Linked DNA regions of Lonchura striata. Each later gene encodes a partner of the first gene's protein in a complex. Links are inferred from orthologs where the notes say so. Each region holds a gene or a part of one and is shown in the gene's direction. Other genes may lie near its edges.

Evidence for each region.
Region 2: MED23 (region 1) and MED8 share a complex: the UniProt entries of both Homo sapiens proteins name them as parts of the mediator complex. The link is inferred for Lonchura striata from reciprocal best matches to the Homo sapiens genes MED23 and MED8.
Region 3: MED23 (region 1) and MED13 share a complex: the UniProt entries of both Homo sapiens proteins name them as parts of the mediator complex. The link is inferred for Lonchura striata from reciprocal best matches to the Homo sapiens genes MED23 and MED13.

Annotation. Positions count from the first base shown.
Region 1 is NC_134605.1:59,767,073-59,774,559, forward strand, and holds the start of MED23 (mediator of RNA polymerase II transcription subunit 23), read left to right. Parts: upstream 1-4,470; 5' UTR 4,471-4,556; coding exon 4,557-4,616; intron 4,617-7,369; coding exon 7,370-7,401; intron 7,402-7,487. UniProt on the Homo sapiens protein: Required for transcriptional activation subsequent to the assembly of the pre-initiation complex. Component of the Mediator complex, a coactivator involved in the regulated transcription of nearly all RNA polymerase II-dependent genes.
Region 2 is NC_134611.1:15,037,219-15,045,226, forward strand, and holds the start of MED8 (mediator of RNA polymerase II transcription subunit 8), read left to right. Parts: upstream 1-4,999; 5' UTR 5,000-5,035; coding exon 5,036-5,041; intron 5,042-5,383; exon of another isoform or gene 5,384-5,492; coding exon of another isoform or gene 5,493-5,495; intron 5,496-7,825; coding exon 7,826-7,944; intron 7,945-8,008. Other genes in the region: KICSTOR complex protein SZT2, read right to left, coding at 1,785-1,916, 3,747-3,917, 4,264-4,437, 4,594-4,719, 4,924-4,953. UniProt on the Homo sapiens protein: Component of the Mediator complex, a coactivator involved in the regulated transcription of nearly all RNA polymerase II-dependent genes.
Region 3 is NC_134622.1:9,291,447-9,298,696, forward strand, and holds the start of MED13 (mediator of RNA polymerase II transcription subunit 13), read left to right. Parts: upstream 1-4,241; 5' UTR 4,242-4,364; coding exon 4,365-4,430; intron 4,431-6,243; coding exon 6,244-6,478; intron 6,479-7,250. UniProt on the Homo sapiens protein: Component of the Mediator complex, a coactivator involved in the regulated transcription of nearly all RNA polymerase II-dependent genes.

The DNA of each region.
Region 1 (7,487 bases):
AGAGGCAGACACTATTATTCTGGCCATTTCCTATGCCTTTTTTTTTTTTTTTTTTTTTTTTTTTTTTTTTTTTTTTCTCCAAAGTTTTATCGCTGAGCACAGCATCATATGGTGTGGAATATCAGTTTGGCCAGCTGGGGTCTGATGTCCCAGCTGTGCCCCCTCCAGCCTCTTGTGCATTCCACACTACTCAGAGAGGAGGCTCTCAGTCTGTTTAAGAACTGCTCAGCAACAGCTAAAATGAACAGAATGTGATCCCATATACCTGATTTTGCTACTTTTACCCAATCATTGCTCTAACTTGACATACTATACTGTCTTCATGATGATTTACAATATTCTAGAACATTTTTCACCAATAAAATTCAATTATTAAACTTGATAACTATTAATCAAGAACCCAAACTTTTCTGTTTCAAGATCAACAGCCTCATATGTTAAAAATACTTATTTTCATCCCTACCAAAAGAAAATTCACATTAAAAAAATCAAACAATCCATATGATCAATACATAAGACTAAAAAAACCAATAAGGAAGAAGGACATAATTATCCTTTCTGCTCTCTATTACTAAATCATAACTCTGAGTGACTGTTCTGCATACAGACTGACACAATACCAATGCAGGGTGAGGGTATAAAAAAACCTATTCCCCCATAGTTACACTGCAGTCCTCAGTTCATCTGATACTTTCAGGAAGAAGAAGGTGTTTTCAAAGAACGCAGGCAGGACATCTCTGACATATACATGTTAACAAGCATGTCAGGAAACTGGGGAGGATAATTTCTGAATAACGCTGTGTTGTAGACACTTTCAATATTCACTGCTAAGAAGCTAAAAGTCCTCCAGGGCCATGAAGAGCCAGAAAGACCCTATACACCATACATTCTAAGATATCTTTGTACTCATTTGTCATTTGTCTTCTAAAATGAATAGCACTCAGGAAAAAAACATTTCAAAGTTTAAACATTTTTCTCATAAATGTCATTAAAATGGTCATTTTGATGAAGGTGGTTTTGCTAGAGTAATAGTATTTACAAATAATTTTGAAAAGTGCATTTCTTTTTCTGTGTCTGGGTGAAGAGAGTAATTTCATCCTCACCTCTTCTGCCTTGTTTGGTAAAATGTGTGGCTCTGTTACTCAGTACAGGCAGGGTCTCATAATGGTTCATGCCTTGGCAGATGGACCCAGGTGCAGTCGCTCCAGGGTTAATGGCAGTACGGTTTCTCCCCCTGGATCCTTGGCTCCCTCAGGCAAAGCAGGAAGATCTTTGCTTAGGCCTGACCTGCCCCAGCACCCCTTGCTCCCAGTTCCATCCCAATGAGATTCTCTGCTAAACTCTGACTGAGATAAATTCATCAGGTCCTCAAGTGTGCCCATCCCCATACACACACCCCTCTCCTTTACAATTGTGTCCCATGGGAAATATGATTTGTCCTAAAATAAGAAAACCAAGTGAGAATGGTGCTAAGATAAGAACGGACAGTGATCATTCCAGGAGGAACAGTATGGATATTCCACAAAGACAAATTTCAGAGACAGGGAGGTGTAATGATTTCGACTGACTTGGGCACACATCAGCCTGCAAAAGTGTTTAAACTACTGCTGGAGACTGGGCCAACTGGGCAGACTGGTCTCCCAGGCAGCAGGCAGCTTCCAGGCAGATCCCCCTGTCCTGGAAGGGATGCCTGCAGGGTACATTCAGCCTAAAGATGAGGAACACTCACTTTTGGGCAGGTGAATAAAAGCACCAAAACCCAGTCAGGTAAAGAGATAAAATCCTAAAGCATCTCCACAGGTGCTTTGCCATTGTGAATTCTGTAAGGCCAAAGACTGTAAATCTGTATATTTCCAGCTGGTTATAATATAAGCCGGTTATAGTGCATTTATATATTATTACATGTTTATATTGTATACTAATATATTATAATGTATACTAAATATTGCTTTGGCAATATTTAGACACTGTATTAGCAATAAATCTAATCATAACCATCTACATAATGTGTCATACTCTTTGCGCCTGACCAAGAGCCTTCTTTCTACTACTTTTCTACACAAAGGTAGGATCATAGGTAGCTCAGTTTTGTTAAAATGAGATCTGGTTAGACAAGATGTTAATTCAGGACAGAAATCACCATTTGAACCTCTTTGGGGGTTCAAGACCATTACATGGTTTCAGTTTTAAAATTCAAAATATGGTATAGTATTTGGGGCAAGTTGTAAACCAGGACCCTAACTAGGATTAGACCAAGTCTGTCTACTAAATATTACCATCTAGATTTAGGCTTACATGCTAAGTTCTATTTGGAATGTATGCTGGCTAGTGACTTAAAATCAAGGTAAAGTTGTATTAGGCAACTAATTTCCAGTCCTCTTATGAGTCACTGTGAGAATGGATTAGGAGGTTGGCACAAAATTTGAGTAGACACTTATACCCTGTGCATTGTCATTTTAATAATATATAAGGTAGTCTGTCCTGAATGGACAAATACTGACACTGGGTCTTGATGGGCATTTCAGATTGTTGTGCAACACTCTTTAAATAAATACACAATGAAGAGTACAAAGAACAATTCTTACAGAATAAATAACTTCACGTTAAGACCGAGGGCAGCCCAATTCTAAGAGCAAGACAAGCAAGCACAAGCAGACCTTCAATTGCATCCCCTCTGTTTTCAATGATCATCTGTTACGTACATTTAGTTAAATAATACACATGTAAGCATTATTTCTTTCCTAACCACTGCTGAAAAGAAAGCACTGACTTCAAAGCATCCTGTGCCTGTTGTCTACAAAACACATCTCTTCTAGCTGTGCAAGCACGGATGCCACACGTATCACTGTCCTCTGTTGTACTTCTTAAATTTACTTATAACATTTCTCATTGTTTATGTCATGTATTCTTCCAGGCCTATTTACACAAAAGCTGTTTACATTTAAAACAAATAATTGTCTATCCAATTCCATGTGAGTGTTTCCCCCACTCTGCTATTTTCCACTCAGCTCCAAGCCTGAAAACGTTAATTTTTCACTGCTCTGAGGCCTCTGGTTATCACCTTGATAGTTGATCAGACAGGGAGTTGATCAGCTTTATTTTTCTGTACAAGACGTAAGTTTGTACCTGTTTACCAGTACCAGCTGCATGTTTGCAGCTTAACATCCACAGACAGCTCAGAAAATAAAGTGTCAGCATCAAACACACACAAAATTTTAGCACTGTCTTGATTCAGCATTTTACATTTCTTTCTAGTATAAAAACATCTGCATATATATACACATATAAATATAATGCTCTCTATCAGATAGGAGGCTGTGCAGAGGTGTAGGTCAGCCACATCTCCCAGGTAGCAAGCTATAGGACAAAAGGAAATGGCCTCAAATAGCAACAGGGGAGGTTAGATTGGATATTGGGAAAAAATTCATCACTGAAAGGGTATTTAGGCATTTGAACAGACTGCTCGGGGAAGTGGTGGAATCACCATCCCTGGAAGTGTTGAAAAAATGTGTAGATGTAGCCCTTGGGGACATGATTTGGAGATCGGCTTGGCAGTCGAATTTGACATTCTTAGAGGTCTTTTCACAACTTAATGATCCCAAGATTCTAATGTAATACTCTTGTACTCATTTTTAAATGTAATACTATTGCATTTTACTGTGTCCAGCTCTGCCGAGAGCAACATGGAGCTGCTGGAGTGGCTCCAGTGGAGGCCTAAGAGGATGACTGGGGGACTGGAGCACTGCTCTTATGACGAGAAGCTGAGGGAGCCTCTTCAGCTTCGAGATAACTGGGAGGGGAACTCATCAGTGTCTATCAGTATGCGAAAGGAAGATGCCGGGATGGAGTTAGGCTCTTCTCAGTGGTGCCAAGCAACAGGACAAGAGACAACTGGCAGAAACTGATGCACATCCTGCAGAACATGAGGAAGAACTTCACTGTGCAGGTGATCAAGCACCAGAATAGATTGACCGGAGAGGCTGTCAAGAACTACCCGGATACAGTTTTGTGCCACGTGCTCTGGGATGACCCTGCTTCAGCAGGGAGGATGGAGCCGATGATCCACTGCGATTCCTTCCAACCCGACCCATCCTGCAGTGCTCTGATTCTGTTCTCCTGGATGTCTTTAGATAAACGCATTTTCAGATTGTTCTATGATTCACAGTAATTACACCAAACTGGGCTCAAGTAGAAACAGGGAGAGAAGCGGCTGGAGATCAGTCCTGCAGAGAGAGATCTCATAATAATGAGATCCTTACACCCTAATGCGGCTCCTTGCCGTAAGAACCAGAGCAGCATTTCGCCTAAATATTCCCCCCCCAAAAAAAAATTATTCAAATAAAATATTATACAAAAACCAAAGAAGCCTAAGCGAATATTTTTGCAAAAAGAAAAACAAAACCAAGACTTAAGACGCCGTCGCTTTCCCCACGTTGCCCGGAACGGCGGGGCCGAGCAGCGGCTTCCCGGGGAGCGGGATCGGGGCGCAGCTTCCGGCGGGAGGAGCGGCGGGAGGAGCGGCGGCGCCGGACCACGGCCCGGGGCCCGCCGGCCCCATGGCGATCCCCATGGTGCCCATGGAGACGCAGCTGCAGAGCATCTTCGAGGAGGTGGTGGTGAGTCCGTCCCCGGAGCGCCGCCGCTGCCGGGGCCGCCTCCGGGTCCCCGCGGCCCGCAGTGCTCCCTCTGGGGTGGGGAGCACCGAAGGAGATGAAAAGCCAGGTGGGAGAGGTGCTTTTGGTTTTCCTGGCGCTGTCGGTGCGGTGCAGCCCCGCCGCCGACCCCGGCCGTGTTTGCTGCTCCCGGCGGCGGCGGGGCCTTGGGCTTTGTAGGAAGGCTGGGACAGAGGACCGGCCGTAAAACAGCTTGCGTAGCCAGTACCGAATCACAGAGCGCTGAATTTGCTGTAAAATAAGCAGTCTAAAGAGTTCTGCAGGAGCCTAGGAGAAGATGGATGTCCCGAGTAGGCGAGACAGCATAATGGCATGATCGGATTGTGGGAATGCACACGCACAATGCTGCCTGCAAAACGAAGCACAGTTAACCCAAATGCTCCCTCCATTTTCCATACGACATTCTTTCCAGCATTCTACCCAGCTTTGCTGCCTGCCCATGGATGCATTCAAGGCCCCAGAACTGCTCACAGAACTCGAGGTGTGGCCATACCAAAGCTGAGTGCAGCAGGATAATCACCTCTTTTGTGTGAATGTTGAATGGGTTTGATGCATCCCAGGATGGGATTTGCCCTCCTGGCTGCTTGGGCTCTCCCTGCTGGCTCACACTGAGCTGCTGCTGAGCAGCACTCCCAGATCCATTTCTGCAGGGCTGGTCTCCAGCCGCTCCTGTCCCAGTTTATACTTGTGCCCAGCAGTTAACTCTTGTGCCCAGAGTACTTGTTTGTACTCTGTCCCAGGTACAGACTCTGGCATTTGCTAAATTTGATGGCACTGATTGCTCAGTGCGCCAGTCTATCCACATCCTTTTTTAAGGCCTCTCATCCCTCAAGAGAGTCAACAGCACCTGCCAGTTTAGTATCATCAGGAGGTTTGCTAATGGTGCATTTACCTCCTGCTGCATTTACCTCCTGCACCATTATATAAATATACTGAACTCTAGGAGCCCAGCGGAACACCACTGGTGACCCATCACCAGCCAGATGCAGCCCCACTGACTGCACCCCTTTGATCTCTGCCCTCCTGCCACTTCTTCACCCAGCACATTCTGAAGCTGTTTATCCCACAGTTCAACAGCTTGTCCAGAAGGATGCTATGAGGGGTAGTATTAAAAGCATTATCCAGAAAAAGTACTTCCACTGCCTTTTCTTTGTCCTCTTTAGGTGGAGAGGACAAATATCTGTCTATCATTACCTTATAAAAGATATTAAATTAGTTAAAGATATTAAATTAGTTGAACAGGACTTTCCCTTTGTGAAGCCAGGTCAGTGGGTTATTAATCACACTTGTGTGGAGCACAAATGAATGAGCTTCTTGGTAGATAGGAGACATTCACAGTTGGAAACACTGGGGTGACAGGAGCTGATCCTGAATGGGAGCCTGACTGACATTTCAGACAAAAAATAAGCTGATTCAAATGTCTGAAGTGGAAAGAATCTGTAGATTTCAGAGAAAGTGAAAATTATTTCCATGTGATGAATTTCAGTAGAGGAAAGAAAAGCCTAACCATTCTGTTTTAAGCTGGCATTATAAAATGCATGATGTACTTTTCTTTATGTGGTGTTAAGTTGCTTGTAGCATATCAATTGCCTACATGTGACTGATTCCTCATTTTGGCCATTCAGATTATTTTCACATTTTTAATGTTGTCATTTGCCTGTGTTGTCACGCTACCTGGTTTTATGTACTGTTATTTGTCTAAGATTCATAAGGAACAACAACAAAATAGTTCCTGAGAAAATTTCCCTGTATTTTTAGAGCCATAACTGATAAAATAGCAACTTACTGCTTTCCCTGCTGCTGGTACGGACTTGGTGGTCAGCATCAAACTTTACCTTGCTTTCTGTGCAGATCACATGAGTGTCAGCTTCTCCTTTGCTTCTTGAGTAGCAGTGGCAGACAATTCTGAGCCAAATGATGGAAAAGGAACACCAGCAAGTTGATTTTGTTACATGTTTCTGTGTCTGTAATGTAACAATGAAAACACATAATATCAGTGATAGATCACACCTGAGTATAATATGAAATTCTTACAAAAAGTAGGAAAGGCTTTAGGATAATATTTTCCAGAACCTATTTGCTGAAGTTCTAGAATAATGATGTAGAAGCCTTTGAGCAAAATGAAGTTGAAAAAGAGGGGGAGGGGGTAAAGGAAGGTCTTATTGAATATTCATATTTGGTTTTTTTATCTAGTACAAGACCATTACATTATTCAGTCGAATTTAAAAAGCAGTGGATCTAAATTTGGATGGGAAAGTAATTGTATTTAATTGATTTGTGTAACTGAATGTCATGAACATAAGAAGGGCAAAAACTTAATGGAATTCAAAAATGCTAATTTTTCAAATGATGAGAAGACAGCTGTAATAAGACAATCAACTTCTCCAGCTTTGGGAAGTGAATTGATCTCTAGATGTTTAGAAGACCAAAAAAAAACAAAAAACCACAAAAAACAAAACACAAAAACCAAAAAAAAACCAACCCAAAACAAAGAAACAAAGCCTTCATCTGGATCCACAACTTTTATATGTCTGTGTGAAAACAAAACAGTCTCATCTTTGGAATAGCAGAAGACACCTATCATTCTCTGGTACAGACCCATAACAATTGACTTTGTCTTTTGTGCTTCATCCTGTGGCCATGATTGTCATAGAAAACCTTCTAACATTAGCTCACTTGGGGTTTTTCTCTTACAGAAAACAGAAGTAATTGAAGAAGCTTTTCCTGGGTAAGTGTAATACTGTTTTATTTGTGAAGGTTTTGTGTGTAAATGCATTTTTCTACTTGTTTCACTGGGTACTGCTAATAACTAAT
Region 2 (8,008 bases), on another chromosome or scaffold:
GGGCAAGGCTGCTTGAAAGTGGAGGGACAGCCTCTCAGAGCTTTATATTAAGCTGATTTCTAATAGAAGGGGAAATTGGGGTCACTTTGGGGTCACTAAAATTCCTCTGTGGAGCAAAGCACTTCCCAGTTAAAGAGATGTGAATACCTCCTTCTCCCCCTGCCATTTAGAAGCTGCAGCTATTCAGCATCTACTTAATTTATTATATTCAGCCCAGAAACACAGGAGAGGTAGAGGCAGCTACTTCTCACTCATGAAGCTCTGTAGCAGAGGGGGCAAAGAGCCTCATAAAGACAAAGTCTTGTGCCTATGCATTCAACTCAAATGGCCCTCATTATGCAATAATGACATAAACAAATGTAGGTAAGCTTCTGCACCTTCTATGAAAAATATCCTCTAGGCAAAGCCTGAAATTTGTATAATTACACCAGTGAGAAACCTACTGTATTCTTAGTCCCTTAATCCCCAAAAGGTTCTGGCAGTTCAACCCTGCAATAAAACATTGCTTTGTTTTTCCTGCTAATGCTGAGAATAGCTGAGACCCCTCCCCCTCCTCCCTCAAAGCTACAGATGATTGAAGCTTGTAAAACAAAACTAGAACTAACTAAACTTTTGCTATGCACAAATGGGAGCACTCCGTGCCTGTGAGCGAAAAATATTGACTGTCCGTCACTTTAATTTGCCAGATGCCTTTAATTCAGATACTTTTTAACAATGATGCAGCAAGTGCAACTTCAAAAGTGAAAAATGTTTCAGTCCCTGCCCTTCCCCTGGGGCCTCCACCTCCACCCCACAGCCTGTGGCAGGACTCGCCAGTCCCTCTGGCCTGCGAGAGCGTCTCTCTCCTCCATTTGCATGGAAGAAGTTACAGGGTAATTTACCATGAGAGAAATATTGCATCAAGCAGGAATGTATACAAAGCTCTGCAAAAACACCATCTGGACTCACCGGTTGAGTTATTTACTTCCGGCAATCTACTTCCTGTTTCAGGACCAGCAGTTTAGCATTGAAACATACAAATTTCTGCTAGAATATGAGATTCCAAGCACTTCAGATATGCAACTGCAATACATCACCAATAGCCTCTTGGTCATCTGATTCTGGGACTTTTTTTTTCCTTTTTGCCCGAACTCTAATAACTACTGCTAACTAAGGACTAAATAACCTTAGCCAGACCAGCAATGACTTTGACTGCAAGATCAAAAGCAGCATGGCCAGCAGGTCAAGGGAGGTGATCTTTAAATGTCCCCTCCAACCCACACCATACTAGGACTCTATCATTAATTTGCTGATACATATAGCCATGGCTATTAAGCAGCATCTGTCATAGATTTCAAGGAGTTCATGAAAAAAGTGGCTGTTTATTCAGCTTCATGGCCAGTTTTCATGGTAAAAAATAAGTATTTTTATTCAAGAAATGTAACAAGGGCATATTCACAGCTATTTATAGATTAATTATATGGACATAATCACCTCTCCCACCACCTTCTTCAGAGAGAAAGCACATCCTACCATTTCTCCTATAACATACAGCCAGGCTGTCTTAGTACACATTAACTTTGGGGGAGGTAACCATCCTCACCAGTCCTTCTCAACACTTAATAGTTCTGCTTCCTCAGTGTTCATGTCTCATTACTGGATCCCACAACATTATCTCACCAACTCCTTAGCTGTTCCTTCTGCAGACCTCTGCTGCTTTTCCTCTTGCCACCACACTTCAGCGGGGCCTCAGAGTGCACATCTCCAGGAAGCCAAGAGAGCCCAGTTACCTCTGCACTCCTTACCTGTGGTTTGGGTTCATATTGTTGCTGAAGCATCTCTGCCACTTTGTTTTCAAAGGCACAGAGCTGTGTGTAAACTTGGTGCAGAAAGGCCTCACGCTTCGTCTCATCCAGCTGACAGCCCTGGAATAGTACCTGGCCCAAAGACACACGTGTCAGTCACCAAGTCAATATTTTACAGCACCAGCCCTCAAGATGGTGAACACAGTGCTGCACAGTAAAGGTCAAACACATCCCTGACAAAGCACAGGTACAGCACAGGCCACTTCTCTCTGTTCCTGCTCAAAAATAACTGCGTGTGAGCAGTGGTACCTCATGGCAATTGCCGTGCATCCCACAGCAGACACCTACATGACACTTTAGGAAATCTCCTTCTTGGGCAAGAAACTTCTACTTCATTTGACTTTCTCCAGGATAAACAGTTATTAGGAGAAAGTGATGTGGGATCATTGTTAGAAACCATGAACTGTAGTCTGATGCTTCTACGGAAGGCCTGCTTCTTCTAATCTACCTTACCTATAGACTGATTAAATTATCTTCCAAGGGGAACAGTAAATTGAAATAAAGAAAAGAAGCAATTAGAGTGGACATTACATTAGAGTGGCTTACAGAGGAAGCCTGCCACCACAGCAACTCCCCAGGGTGACAGGCATGACACCTGTGTTTACAGATGCCACCCTGGTACAGGCAATCCCTCAGTCCCTGTCCACAACCAGAGACAAAGAAGATACAACATGCAGACAAAGCCCTCAGCAGATTGGTGGGGTGCTGCATGTTATCCACATTCCTCAGCCTCATATGGGCAAGACCTCACAGTGGCACAGGAGAAATAAATGATTACCACAGAAAGTCTTTCCTGGATAAGTGATACACACAATACACCTTTTCCTCCATAAAAGAATAATTATCCAGCTGTTCCCAGAGATCACAGTTCATGGCCTCATATACAAAGTGGGAATTTAGGGAGGTCCAAAGAAGAAAAATCTAGCAACTTCAGAGTGCTCAATATAGTGTAAATAGGGGAGATACTGAAGCACAGCATGATGGTCTGCAGGCCAAGATGACACATAATACATCAATGGCAAATGGAGAAATTCCTGCTACACTTACTCCAGCAACACCTCAGAACAGATCAAAGTGATGGCCACACTCCTCATGTACAACAGAAACCCTGGCAGAAGGCTTAGGCAGGGAGGGCTGGGGAAGGGGAGAGAGGGAACAAGCATAGACTTATAGGCTCCTCCTGTTACCAAGCACTTCCCCTGGTATTAGCAAAGGGATGAAATACACGACCATAAACACATAAGTTATGTGAAAATACTGTAAGGTAGAAGAGATCAAAGATGAACTTCGAAAATAACACTGGCCCCATAAATCAGACTTGAATTTATTACACAGACCTGTCACGACACAAATAAAATCTCACTGATAAATCTCAATACTGGGGCTGGCTGTTCCCTCCAGCAAGAAGCAGCATATTCAGATCAGTGCAAAAATAAGGTTTGTAGGAAGAGACAACTACTTTTGCATTAACCACTGCTACAGAGTTGGAACAGGGAGACAAGCTTTTGGTCATACAAGCTCTTCTTGAATGCTTCAAGCTAATTAAAACAGGCAAAAATAATTAATCAACAGAAATTAAAGACAAAAACAACTCCCAAACAACAAAACAAGAACAACAATAAGCACACATTCGACATGAGGCAAATATTCCCTGTGGTCCAATTCTAAGATCATGCCTGAGGGCAGCATTCTCCACACAAACCTCTGCTTCCTGCCCAGGAAGGAGAAGTTGCTCACACACACTTCTGCATCATGCCAGGCCACATGTTTTAGTGAGACAAGCCTGCAGCATAACAGGCAGCAGAGCCCAGCTGCCACCTCCCCGCTTTCCTTGTGCTCCCAGGACACCCGCACAGCACAGCGAGCTGCTCACGCCGCGCCAAGGGAGAGCCTGAGCTTTACCTGGTGGGACTGCAGGCCAATGATGGAGGAATACACCTGGATGGTGACAAAGATTTCTGGCTGGTAGATAATGTCTGAACCAGGGATACGAAAGGGTCTTAACAATCCCACCAAGCATCGGGAAAGGGCATGAAACACTTCATCAAAAATTATCTCCCCCGTTGAGTCATCCTACAGAAAGAGAGAAAGGGAACAGCTTTTTCATCTCCTAGGACCCTCAATTTCACTGTTGGGTGTCCCACTGTGCAGAGCCAACAGCAAACATCCTTCTGCAACGGCAGCTGGATTATAGTGACAACTCCTGTGAACAGAAGTCACACATTAAGCATCCAATGGAGAAACAGGATTTGCCATTAAATCCCCATGCAGGGGCACAGTATGGTTCCCTCCCGGGAAAAACAAGACTTCTATAAAAGCTCAGACTGACACCGAGAGCAATAAACCTTTCCTCAGTAAATACAAATGGGTTTCTGTTTTAATGCAGAACACCCCAGAGAGAGGCAGTTTCTGCTCTTACCACAATCCCCGTGGAAGGGCTCAGATCAAGCTCAATCACAAATCGGTACTGACGGGCCAGGAAGGTGACCCGTGTAGAGGGGACCAGGAGGTAGGGCCTGGGCTGGACCGGCTCGTCTGGCTGCCACCCATTGGGCAGGATGCTGAGAACATCGAGCTCGTTTTCTGACTTCACCTGCCAGAACAAGCAAACGGCACATACGAGAACATCAAGCCACACCAAAGGAAGAAGCAAAGAAGAGAAAGGGGCTCAAATGCTCTGCAGGGTGCAGGCGCTGCTGAGCGGCGCAGCACCAGCGGTGACACCATGCAGCCCCGAGCACCAACTCACCAGCTCGGGCTCGGGCACGGCCCGGATGACCTGGTGCAGGCGGCTGAGGACCCAGGCGAGCCGCACGTTGCGGGAGATGCGATAGTCCTTCTTCATCAGGAGGAACACGTGCCCTGCCTCCTCCACCTGCGGCGGGAGCACAGCGGCGCGGGTCAGCCCCGGAGCAGCCCCGGCCAGCGCCCGCGCCGCCGCTCACCCCGGGCTGCTCCGGGCCCGCGCTGCCCACGGCGGCCGCGTCCCCTGCGCGCTCGGCTCGGCTCGGCTCGGCTCGGCTCGGCTCGGCTCGGCTCGGCTCGGCTCCCCAGCCCCGCTCCCGCGGCCCGCACCCACCTCCCCGTCGGGCCGCTCGGCCGCCGCCATGTCGCTGCGGGCCCGCCCCGGAAGCGCGGCTCTCCCGGGACAGCGGGGCGGGGCCGCCGCCGCCATCGCCGCCGCCGCCGCCATGCAGGTGAGGGCCGGGGAGCGGGGCCGGGGAGCGGGGCCGGGCGCTCCGCGGGGCCGCGCCCGCCCGGGGCTGCGGCAGCCCGGCCGGGCGGCCGAGCGCGTCCCGAGCAGCCGCGGCGACGCTGCGCTGTGCCATGTGCCGTGCCCCTTGCTGCCGCTCCGCCGTCGCTCCGCCGTGCCCCTCGCTGCCGCTCCGCCGTGCCCCTCGCTGCCGCTCCGCCGTGCCCCTCGCTGCCCCTCCGCCGTGCCCCTTGCTGCCCCTCGCTGCCGCTCCGCCGTGCCCCTCGCTGCCGCTCCGCCGTGCCCCTCGCTGCCGCGGGCTGTGGGGTGAGAGGGTGCGCGGCTGAGCGCCCCGCTCCCGCTTGGACGGAATGCCGCTGATCGAGGAGAACCTCGTTACTTTATTAAGAGCTGTGAATTTGTAGCATCCTTATTGTCCAAAGAAAAGAGCATTAATGGTAGGTTAGCAGGCTGTAAAGATCCACCTCCTTTGGTTTGCTTGAAAGCGTAGCCCGCTGGCCTCATACAGATCTGCTTGTCCCGCTGGAAAAGAAAGTGAAAACAGATTGTCCCGCTGTTCCTTGTTTATAGGGTTTGTTACATCGGCTCTCCTTGTTTCAGCCACTTCGTCATGCCAGTCTTTTTCACTGGGTTGTTTGTTTGTTTGGGTTTTTTTGGGTTGTGGTGGTTTGTTGTATGTTTTGTTGTTTACTTTTTTAACTATGAATATTCTTCACCATCCTCATTGCTTTTATCATATTCCTACTCTATTCCTTTTCAGTTCGGGGGACAAGAGTGACATGTTATATTCGAGATGCAAAGGAGGTGCACCATTTATATGGTGACATAATGATGCTTAGTTTCCGTAGCTGTCCTAATAACTCCTGTAGTCACTTTTACTTCTTTGACTGCTTTTCCAGGATTGGGATGATGTTTTCATGGGTTACCCTCAGATAACCCTGAAATCTTTTTGAGTTACAACCTTATCAGCTCAGATAATGTCATTGTGTACAGAAAGTCATGGGGTTTTTTTCCCCTTTGTTTAGCCAGTCAGGATTTTTTTTCTCCTTTGTTTTGATGTCTGCATTGTTTTACCTTTACCTACTCTGAATTTCACCTTTCCCTCTCAGTTGCTCAGTATCAGGAGGTCCTTCAGAACCCTTACCATAAGCCCTATCTTTACTACCTCAGGCCAATTTAACATTGCTAACAAACTCCTCAAAGTGTCCTCTTGGAGGGGTCAGTCTTACTGTGTTTATCTTGCACTGCTTGCATCTGCTTCCAGATCCTGATGGCTTTGGGAAGAGCCTAGGGAAGGAGGGTTGGAGTGCTCTGCTGCCATGAGAGTGCTCCTTGTGCAATGGGGTTTATTCATCCTCTTGAAGGCTTCTTGGATAAGCACAGGTGGGGGGCCAGGGGAATTGCTGTGGGTGCATATGCCTGGCACCTCTGCAGTAAAACGCTGGCTACCAGCCCAGCTTGTAATGCAGGCAGTAGTTAACCTCCTTGCACAAACACTGCACACAAACTGTTGCAGGCACATTTCTTAATTGGACAGGAACTGACTAGTCCCGTCACAACATGTGTGTGTGCTTTTATCTCTAGGTGGAACAACCAGCAGCAATCTGTTCCATGAGTCCACTCCTTGGACTGGGGATCAAATTTTACTAAGGTTGATTCAGCTGTTCTAAGGTGGTTAAAGTGAAATGAAGTCCCATCAGTGATTACCAACTTGTCAGAGTACAAATAAAATAGAATAATGTGTTCTCGTGAACATGGAAGGTGCCTGATAATCTCTCCATGAAGCTGACATTGGGCCAGTGTATTTGAACGGAACAATAACAATTCCAATAGCAAGCATGCCAACAGTGTGAGTCACTCTATCTGCTTTCCCAATCGGTATTCCCTTTCTATTATTTGATTGCTTTGTCCCACCCTCCTCTTGGATTATTGTACAGTTCTCTACTTACTCGAGCAGTTCCTTAGGGCTGGAACTTTAATTATGTTTTGCACAATACTGTAGTATGAGTAAGTTAGAGTAGATAAGAGTTTAGAGGGATTTTGCAAGAATCAAGGGCATGCCTTGATGTCTTTGGCAACACATCCCCAGTCTTGACACTTTGTCTGTCACCATCCTCCCTCACCCGGAAGGGGATGTCAGTGGGGAAGATTTCTTAAAACAATGTAATCCCAGCAAAAGGCAGGATTAAAGTGTGTGTGTGGGTACAGTGCCAGTCTGTGTTACGGCAGGGCCTCCCACAGCCCACGGGGCACAAGGCCAGGAGGAGCTGCCAGTTTCCTTGGCAGCTGGAAGTGTCACATGGGCAGAAAGAAAGTAAAGATTGGCAGAAACTTTATTAGTCCAGGGTCCATGGTACTCATTTTGCAAAGACTGTTTTGGATAAAGACATCACAGCACCCACAGCTGCTTTAGAAAAGGCTGAGGGAATGCTAATCTTCTTTGTTCTGGGTTAGCTTAAGTGGTTTACAAAGGTGGCATGAGCTAGTTTTGATGACTTTGCTTGATGTGGTGTAAGTGATGATGTCTTCACTCACCTAAATCTTTAACAGGACAGCTGGCCAAGCGTTCCTCTCAGGCACAAGTCTCTTGCCTAAGTAGTCTGACCCTAGGGAAAGCGGTCAGTGTGAAATAGTAGGATTTTTATCTCCAGTGCCCCTGCTTCCTTTGAAGAGGAGGCTGTCTGTAGGACAGATTGGATCATGGATGCATGGGCGTGAATTCACAACATTTTTGTCCTCCTCCCTTGTCTGTCTTGCCTTTTTTTAGAGAGAGGAGAAGCAGCTGGAACTGACCCTGGAGGCACTCATCAGTCAGGTGGCCGACCTGAAGAATTCCTTGGTCAGTTTTATCTACAAGCTGGAGAATGAGTATGACCGCCTTACATGGTAAAGTGTCTCACTGTTGATCACTGCCCAAGCTCTTCAGACAGGAGATTATCTTCTTGTCAAT
Region 3 (7,250 bases), on another chromosome or scaffold:
CTCTCTGTTTTCCAGGAGGCTTTATTTCCCAAAGAGTACCAAGGGCAAGCAGTGTTTCAGGTGCAGAATTCACCTGCCATGGATGGGATTATTCTCCATTGTGTCTTGGTGTTCTCAGGTCCTGTGCATGGGACTGGGAAAGCTTCAAGGTTCTGAGCCAGGAAGGGTTTGAGTTCAAAATTCCCCAGTTGATGTCTTAGGTTTCTTCCTTCTTTTGTAGATATTTTATCAGCTCCTTATCCTGTGTTTAGGTTTACTGGATAAATGATGTTCTGCACTTGTGCTGGGATCCTACAGAAGGGTTTATTATGATGAATGTGCCAGGACTGATGAACCAGATCCCAAAATGCATTATGTGGAGAAATGAGCTGAGGTGCTCAAAACTGGGAGGTGCAGCCACACCAAAGCCAGTGTTAGACACTAATCCTCTCTTCCAGACACTGAGCTGTGCTGTTTGAGGGACAAGAAATGGGAAAATGATCCTGGAATCAATTCAGACTTGCAAGAACCATTATCCTGGATATCTAAATCTACCAAACCCCTTTTACCAAATGATTTATTTTTCCTCTTAGTGCTACACCCATACCATCTCCCACGTGCTTAATGCCGCTTTCCCCGATGTCCTCCATCCCCCTGGATTTCTCCGTGGGGAAGAGTGACTTGAGAACCTCTCCCGCAGGGACATCACGGTGCCGCTGGGACTCCCGAGGGGCTCGGGCTGGCCCCGGGCACCCAGGAATGCTCCTCGCAGCCCTGGGCTGCAGCCAGCCCAGGGAAAACCATCTGTTCCCTTTGGAAAGGGGTTTGCTTCCCCCCGGAGCCCTCCCCCCGCATCCCGGCTCCGGCCCCAGCTGCCGTGTTTCGATGAGCACTGAGGGAATGAATCTCCTGCGTTTAAAAATACTCTGCTTCTATTTAGATGAAAAGAAGAATCTTGCTTGCCTACACTGGCATACAAAAATAGGCTCAGTGTGAGTAAATCTTCAAAGTTTCTCTTGGCGAATATATCTAGCCTCACTTTTTTTTTTTTTTTTTAACTTATATGATAAGTTTATTTATAGAGTGTCCTTCTTTCCTCCTACTCTATCAAGACATTTGCAGAAGGTTGTCGCTCGTCTTGTTCAGGAGTCCTGAAATAATTTGCAGGGCCTTTGAAACATCATCGTGTTGCATAGTTGTGATCAACGTGCTGCTGTTGCATGAACATATCATATTTTAATGTGAATGTCAGGTTAGCTGAGACATTCGGGGCTTTCTTTGACTTTAGCTGCTTTACACTGGTTTGTGTTTTCGCTTGAACACTGCAGTAAAAATTCTGCATATAGTAATTTAAAATTTTCCATTTTACATGCAAGGCATTGCCTAGAAAATTAATGTGTAATATGAGAGGATTAGTAAGATGTATACACTTTCCAAACATCTCTTAAAAATAGCTTTCACTGTCACTGTAGCATCTTAATTCTGAATAATCTCACAGTCCTTCTGCAAATCTGTGCATGTAGTAACAGAGAAGCCACCTACTTCATCCTCTTGAACTGCATAATATGGATCTGGGCATGGAAAAAAATGGGTTTTGGAGTAGGGCTCTGCTTTGGCAGAGAGGCTGTCTGTGGAACTAGTGAGAGCATTAACACTTGCATTAAATATTAAAATCAGCTTTCACAATTCTTGCCTATCTTTTCAAAAAGGCTCCAACGGCCTCAGTTTGGAATTTGCTCCGTGGTGCAGATCTGGGGAATCCTCTGCCAAGAGGTGGAAGCTGAGGAAGGGGAGCCAAGGCGAGTGTTCCTGTGCTGGGGGACACTCTGTGCCCGGACTTTGGCCCAGGCTGACCGGACGTGCCCTGGGCTGGGCTCCGAATCCCGGGATATCCACCGGGACTGCTGAGTCCAACCCTCACGGGCCAAACCGGGATCAGCCCCAGGAACGGACAGGAGCCCCGGCAGGGATAAGGGGCCTTAGGGGTGTGTAACTATCGAACTGGGGGTGCCAAAAGACGCGCCAGGCTCTGCCCCGTGCTGCCAGGACATGGCACAACGGGCAGGAACCGATGTCTGAACGAGAGGAAGAAGGTGAAGAAGCGTCCAAGGACTGGTGCCAGTGTCCCAGCCATGCTCCTGTGCTCTGGGCTGCCCCTTCCCGGCGGCCCGGGAGCCGCGGGCCCGGCGGGAGCGGGACTCGAACCCGCGCCGCCGCCGCCGCCCGCGGCCGCTAGATGGCGCCGCCCCAACGAGCAAGGCGGGGGCTCCGCAGCGCCCCGCACGCCCCTGGCGGCCGCGCGCCGCCGCCGCACCCGCCTTCCCCCAGCGGCGCCGGCGGCCATGGCGGTGCGCGCCCACGTGACGGCGCGGCGGCCAATGGGAGCGCGGCAGGGGGGCCCCGACCGCCGTCCCTGCGGCCGCCATTAAAGAAAAAGGGTCTCGGAATTAGCCGGGAGCCGGATCCGCGCCCGCTCCGGCCATGGGGGACCCGCGCTGAGGCTCCCGCCGCCACAGGATGCCGCGGCCGGGCAGCCGCCGACAGAGGCACCGCTGAGGGGAGCCGACGCGCCGGCGGGGGCTTGGCGGCACCGACTCCGCCAGCGGCAGCAGCGGCCGCCTGTGTGTCGGCGGCGCCGGGAATTGCGGGGCTCCGACCCCTCGGGGCTGAGCAGAGCCCGGGGCTCGGCCGCCGCCTGCCCGCCCTGCCCGGGAGCCTCGGGGAGCCTCGGCGAGGGCGCCCTCCGCCCTCCGCCCCCGCGGGGACCCGCACCTGAGGGCAGCGAGCGCTCTCGGGGCTCCCCCGCCCCCCAGGACACACCGGCCGAAGACGATCGTTTTTTATATTCCAACCCCCCACCCCGCCTTTTTTTTTTTTTTTTTTTTTTTCCCGCTGTTTTGTTGGGGTTTTTTTTTGGTTTTTTTTTTTGTTTGTTTTTATTTTTTCCCCCTTTATTTTTAAAGGACCGGCCTCGCAGCCGAGCCGGTCCCGCCTCGCCCCCCCCGCGGCCGGGGGTCTGGCGGGGGTCGCTGCCCCCTCCCCGCCGTGACTCGGCGCGGTCCGGGCTCCCCGAAGAGACTTTGCGGGGTCCCCCCGAAGCCCCCGAGGACAGCTGGGGAGGACCAGGCTCCCCGAAGACACTCTGCGATTTTCCGCCTCCTCCTCCCCCGAAAAGGCTGGGGATCGGCCTCCCGGAGACTCCTCCATCCTTCCCCGAAGAGACTTCGAGGGTCACCCGCAATTTCCTCCTTCCACCCTTCTCCCCTCCCTCCTTCTCCCCACGGAAGGAATTTTTACCCAGCGGAGGATATTTTGGTTTCGCCCTCGCTGCGAGGAGTATTTCGTTTTGGGGAGGGGGGGTTTCCACACGGGAATTTAATCCCCCGCTGGGCTGCTAAGGAGACTTTTGCGGCCTTTCTCTCTCAAGGAATACCTTCCCCCCTCCCCTGCCCCCGCAGATGTTTTTTTGGGGTACACCCCAGGAAATTTTTCTTGCTCTGCCTTTACGAATTCTTCAGACTGGCCTTGCTTCTGGCCCCTGAAGTTTGTTTTTATGATTTTAAATTTTAATTTATTTGGAATATTTTTGGAGCAGGGGAGAAGAATCTGACCCCCCCACACCCTGTTGCCCTCGGACTCCGAAGAGACGAGCCTGGATTTTTCTCTCTCCCACGGCCAATCCTTCCCAGTCATTCCACAATTTGCCCCTTTCTCATCTGATGACTAAAGGAACAGGAGGAAGAGGAGGGGGGGTTCTGGATTAATTGCCCCCGCTGGATTATTTATTTTTCCTGCTTCTCTTGCTTGGCATCCGAGAAGAGAGGAAGGAGGGATGTCAACTGATTTTTACCCCTAGCCCCCTGGATTAATTACCCCATTTTTATTCTCTTGTTGGATCAATTACCCCTTCACCTTACCTCCTCTCCCTCCCCTCCTTATGCGAACGAGAAGACAAGAGGAACAGGGAGGATTTTGATCTTAATCTCCCGTCGTTGGATTACTTACCACCTCCCTCTTTCTGTTCTCCCCTTCCACGGCGGCTTTACACCCCCGATTGAGCTCCAGAAGACGAAAAAACGTTCTGAGTTCCTCTTTAATTTTTTTTTTTAATTTTATTTTTTTAAATATATTTTTACCCCCCTCTCCTATACCTCTCTGTCTCTCCTCGCGGGTTATTCCCCCTGCCACTATTTCGCGTGCGTGTGTCTGTAAATCCCTTATTTAATTGTATTATTATTTGTGCGTGTGCAGAGCCCCCCTCCCCCTTTCCCTCTCGCTGTCTGTCTCTCCCTCTCTCCCTCTCTCTCCCTCTCTCCCTCTCTGTCTGTCTCTTTCTTTCTTGTCGGAGGCTGTGGGATAATGGCGTGTGGGTTGTGGCTGTGAGGATGAGTTCCTGCTTCGTGCCGAACGGGGCCAGCCTGGAGGATTGCCATTCCAACCTCTTCTGCCTGGTGAGTGTCGGCCCCCGGCGCACACTCGCCCGGGGCCACCGAGGGAAGGGCTGGGAGCTCTGGGGAGGGGGAAGGGGCAGTGGAAGCAAAGCAGCCATTTTTAGCAGAGCTTCTGCTGGATGAGCCCTCGGAGTAGGCCCTGCCTGGAGCAGCCAACTCTCCCATGCCCCTCTGGTTCCCCTCCATCGCTGTCTGTCTCGCCTCGCCCCTCCCTCCGCTTTCTTCCTGGATAGTAGCCTCCCCGCAACTCGCCTTTTCCTTCCCTTTCCGTGCCTTCCAACTTTTCCTCCTTTCTCCCCTCTATCCCTGCCTCTGAGCCTTTTCTCACAAGGGAAGGGAGCTGCTGCTGCCTCTCCTCCCGGCCCCACATCTCGGGGAACTTTCTCTTTTCCCTCCTCGCTCGTGACATCCCAGGCGAAACCTCCCGTATTCCTCGCTTTTAAACGGATCCCTTTCCCTGCTTGCTTTTATTCTGGAGGGTTGCTTTTGGTGATGCCCTGCCTGTCTTGTGTTTTGATGTGCACCATTTTGTAGTCTTTTTTTAAGCCAAGTAGCACATCGTTCATATTGTTGAATTTTGGTAGCTCCAAAAGTAAATTCGATATAACTGGACTGTGATGCAATTTTTTGGTGTCTGTGCTGAGCTGTTTCATCAGCTTTTAATGCAAATGAGCTAATCTTAGCTGTCTGACTGATATTTATGATTCCAGAGATTGTTACAACAATCCTGTGCCAATCTGTGGCACTCGTATTTTTGGATGGAGGGGAATCTGGACGGCCTGACTATGTCTGCAGCCTGCACCAGGCCTGCAGCTCCAGATTAATAGTACAATTTTAAATCTGAAAGTCTTTCTCAAGTAGCAACTGTTGCAGACAACCTTTCATCCAAATTGCTCTCCTGCTGAAGGTAGGGAGGCTGCCATGTTAGGTTTAAATGTTGCAGTAATCTTTTGTGTGTTGTCATATTGGGAAGACAAAAAATAGTAACTTAGCAAATGCCAGCCTGCCTTGCTCTGCCTTCCCAAAGAGAACCCGGGGCAATGCCTCCCCTACCTGCCTTAAGGTGCTTGAGTGACAAAACTGAGAGCTAAAACTTGGTGTTGTGGTGGAGATAATCCAGGAATTGTCTGCTTCCCATTACACAGAGTAGTAACTCTTGCCCTGTGTAAAGTCAAATTAATTATTGCCTAGGAAGGGGTTTAGTGGATCATTATCAACGTGCTTGCAGGTCTAACGAGGATTTAAATCCTTGAAATGTGGTGTGAGGAATGAAAAGTATGATAGCTCTTGGTAAAATCAGTGAACACGAGAGACTTCCCGAGGGAAAGACAGAATTTTTTACCATGGAGAAACTTGTGAAATTTTCCCAAGTGGTAGATGGCTGGAAGAATGTGTGATTTACTGTATCACCTATTTCCATGGAGTAATCTTGGATGGAAAAGGCAGTGTATGCACAAGTAAAGAAAGCCAAAGATGTTCTTTGCTAAGGCAAGTGTTTAGGAGATTGGACTGTGTCAGTCTGTGAATAATAACATTACTCACTCGTCTTTCACTCTTTACTTTAAATCAAATCTGATTTTTCTCTGTGTAACCTTAAAGCTGCAGTGCAAACAAACAACTCTTGCTTTACTGCAGTTATTTAATGAGCTATTAAAGCAGGATCCCCGATTGTTCCCAATGTACCTCCTAAGGCACACAAAACTAACCAACGTGTTTCAATTCTGAGGGATCCCTTTCTCCCCGTGCCATCACCTCGAAGCAGGATGTGCTCGCTGGAGCTGCCTGAGCCCTGACAGTTCTTTCCTCTCTCCAGGCTGATCTGACTGGGATTAAATGGAAGCGCTACGTGTGGCAGGGCCCAACGTCTGCCCCCATCCTGTTCCCGGTGACGGAGGAGGATCCCATCCTCAGCAGCTTCAGCCGCTGCCTCAAGGCCGACGTGCTCAGCGTCTGGCGCCGGGACCAGAGGCCTGGGCGCAGGGAGCTCTGGATATTCTGGTGGGGGGATGACCCCAACTTTGCTGACCTGATCCATCATGACCTCTCAGGTAGGAGCTTGCTCACACCATCCTTTGGTCACTGGAAGTACTCAGGGCTGGCTTCTGACACCTGCACCAAGTCGAGTGTTGTCTCCAGAAAATAGAAATATATTGCTGTAACCCTCACCAAATTATTACAGCAATGATCAACCATCTGCTCTGTGTTCAGCTCACCTTGGACTGCTGGATTTTCAAGAAACAAGGGTTTTGCTCCCCACTTGTTCCCTTGGAAAAAAAAAAACCAAAACACAAGCCTATGAGTTTTGGCAGCTTCTTCATGAGAAAGCTGTGCTGAAAGCTGTGCCTGTGATTCACAAGTGATGTCTTAAACATGTTTTGATAAGATCCCTTTTGTTGGGCAATTAGAATTTTTAAATTCAAATAGTAAAACTCATTATGTAATAAGAAGTGTAGAGATCTGGGCAGCTCTTGAACTGTTTGGAGTTGTTTTGGTTGGAATTCACACCATCAGTGAGAAGCCCTCAGAAGGAGGCACCAGGAACTAACCAGCTATTCCCATGCAAAATCTGTAAACCTTCAGTTTTTGTGATTCCTCTCCCCCCCTTTTCCTGGTGCCCTGAACCTGCTTTCAAACCCAGCCCTTTGAAAGACTGACAATATTTGTATTTCTCAACAATGTTGTACTTCAAATTTGGCACCTTCCTTTGGAACTGTTTGCTTGTTGAGCTCGATTCCCCACGTAGATGGTTTCCAGCTGCTTATCAGCAAGGTGACGAAGTTAGATATTTAAATTGGGTGAGTCTAAAGGTGAGACTGAACT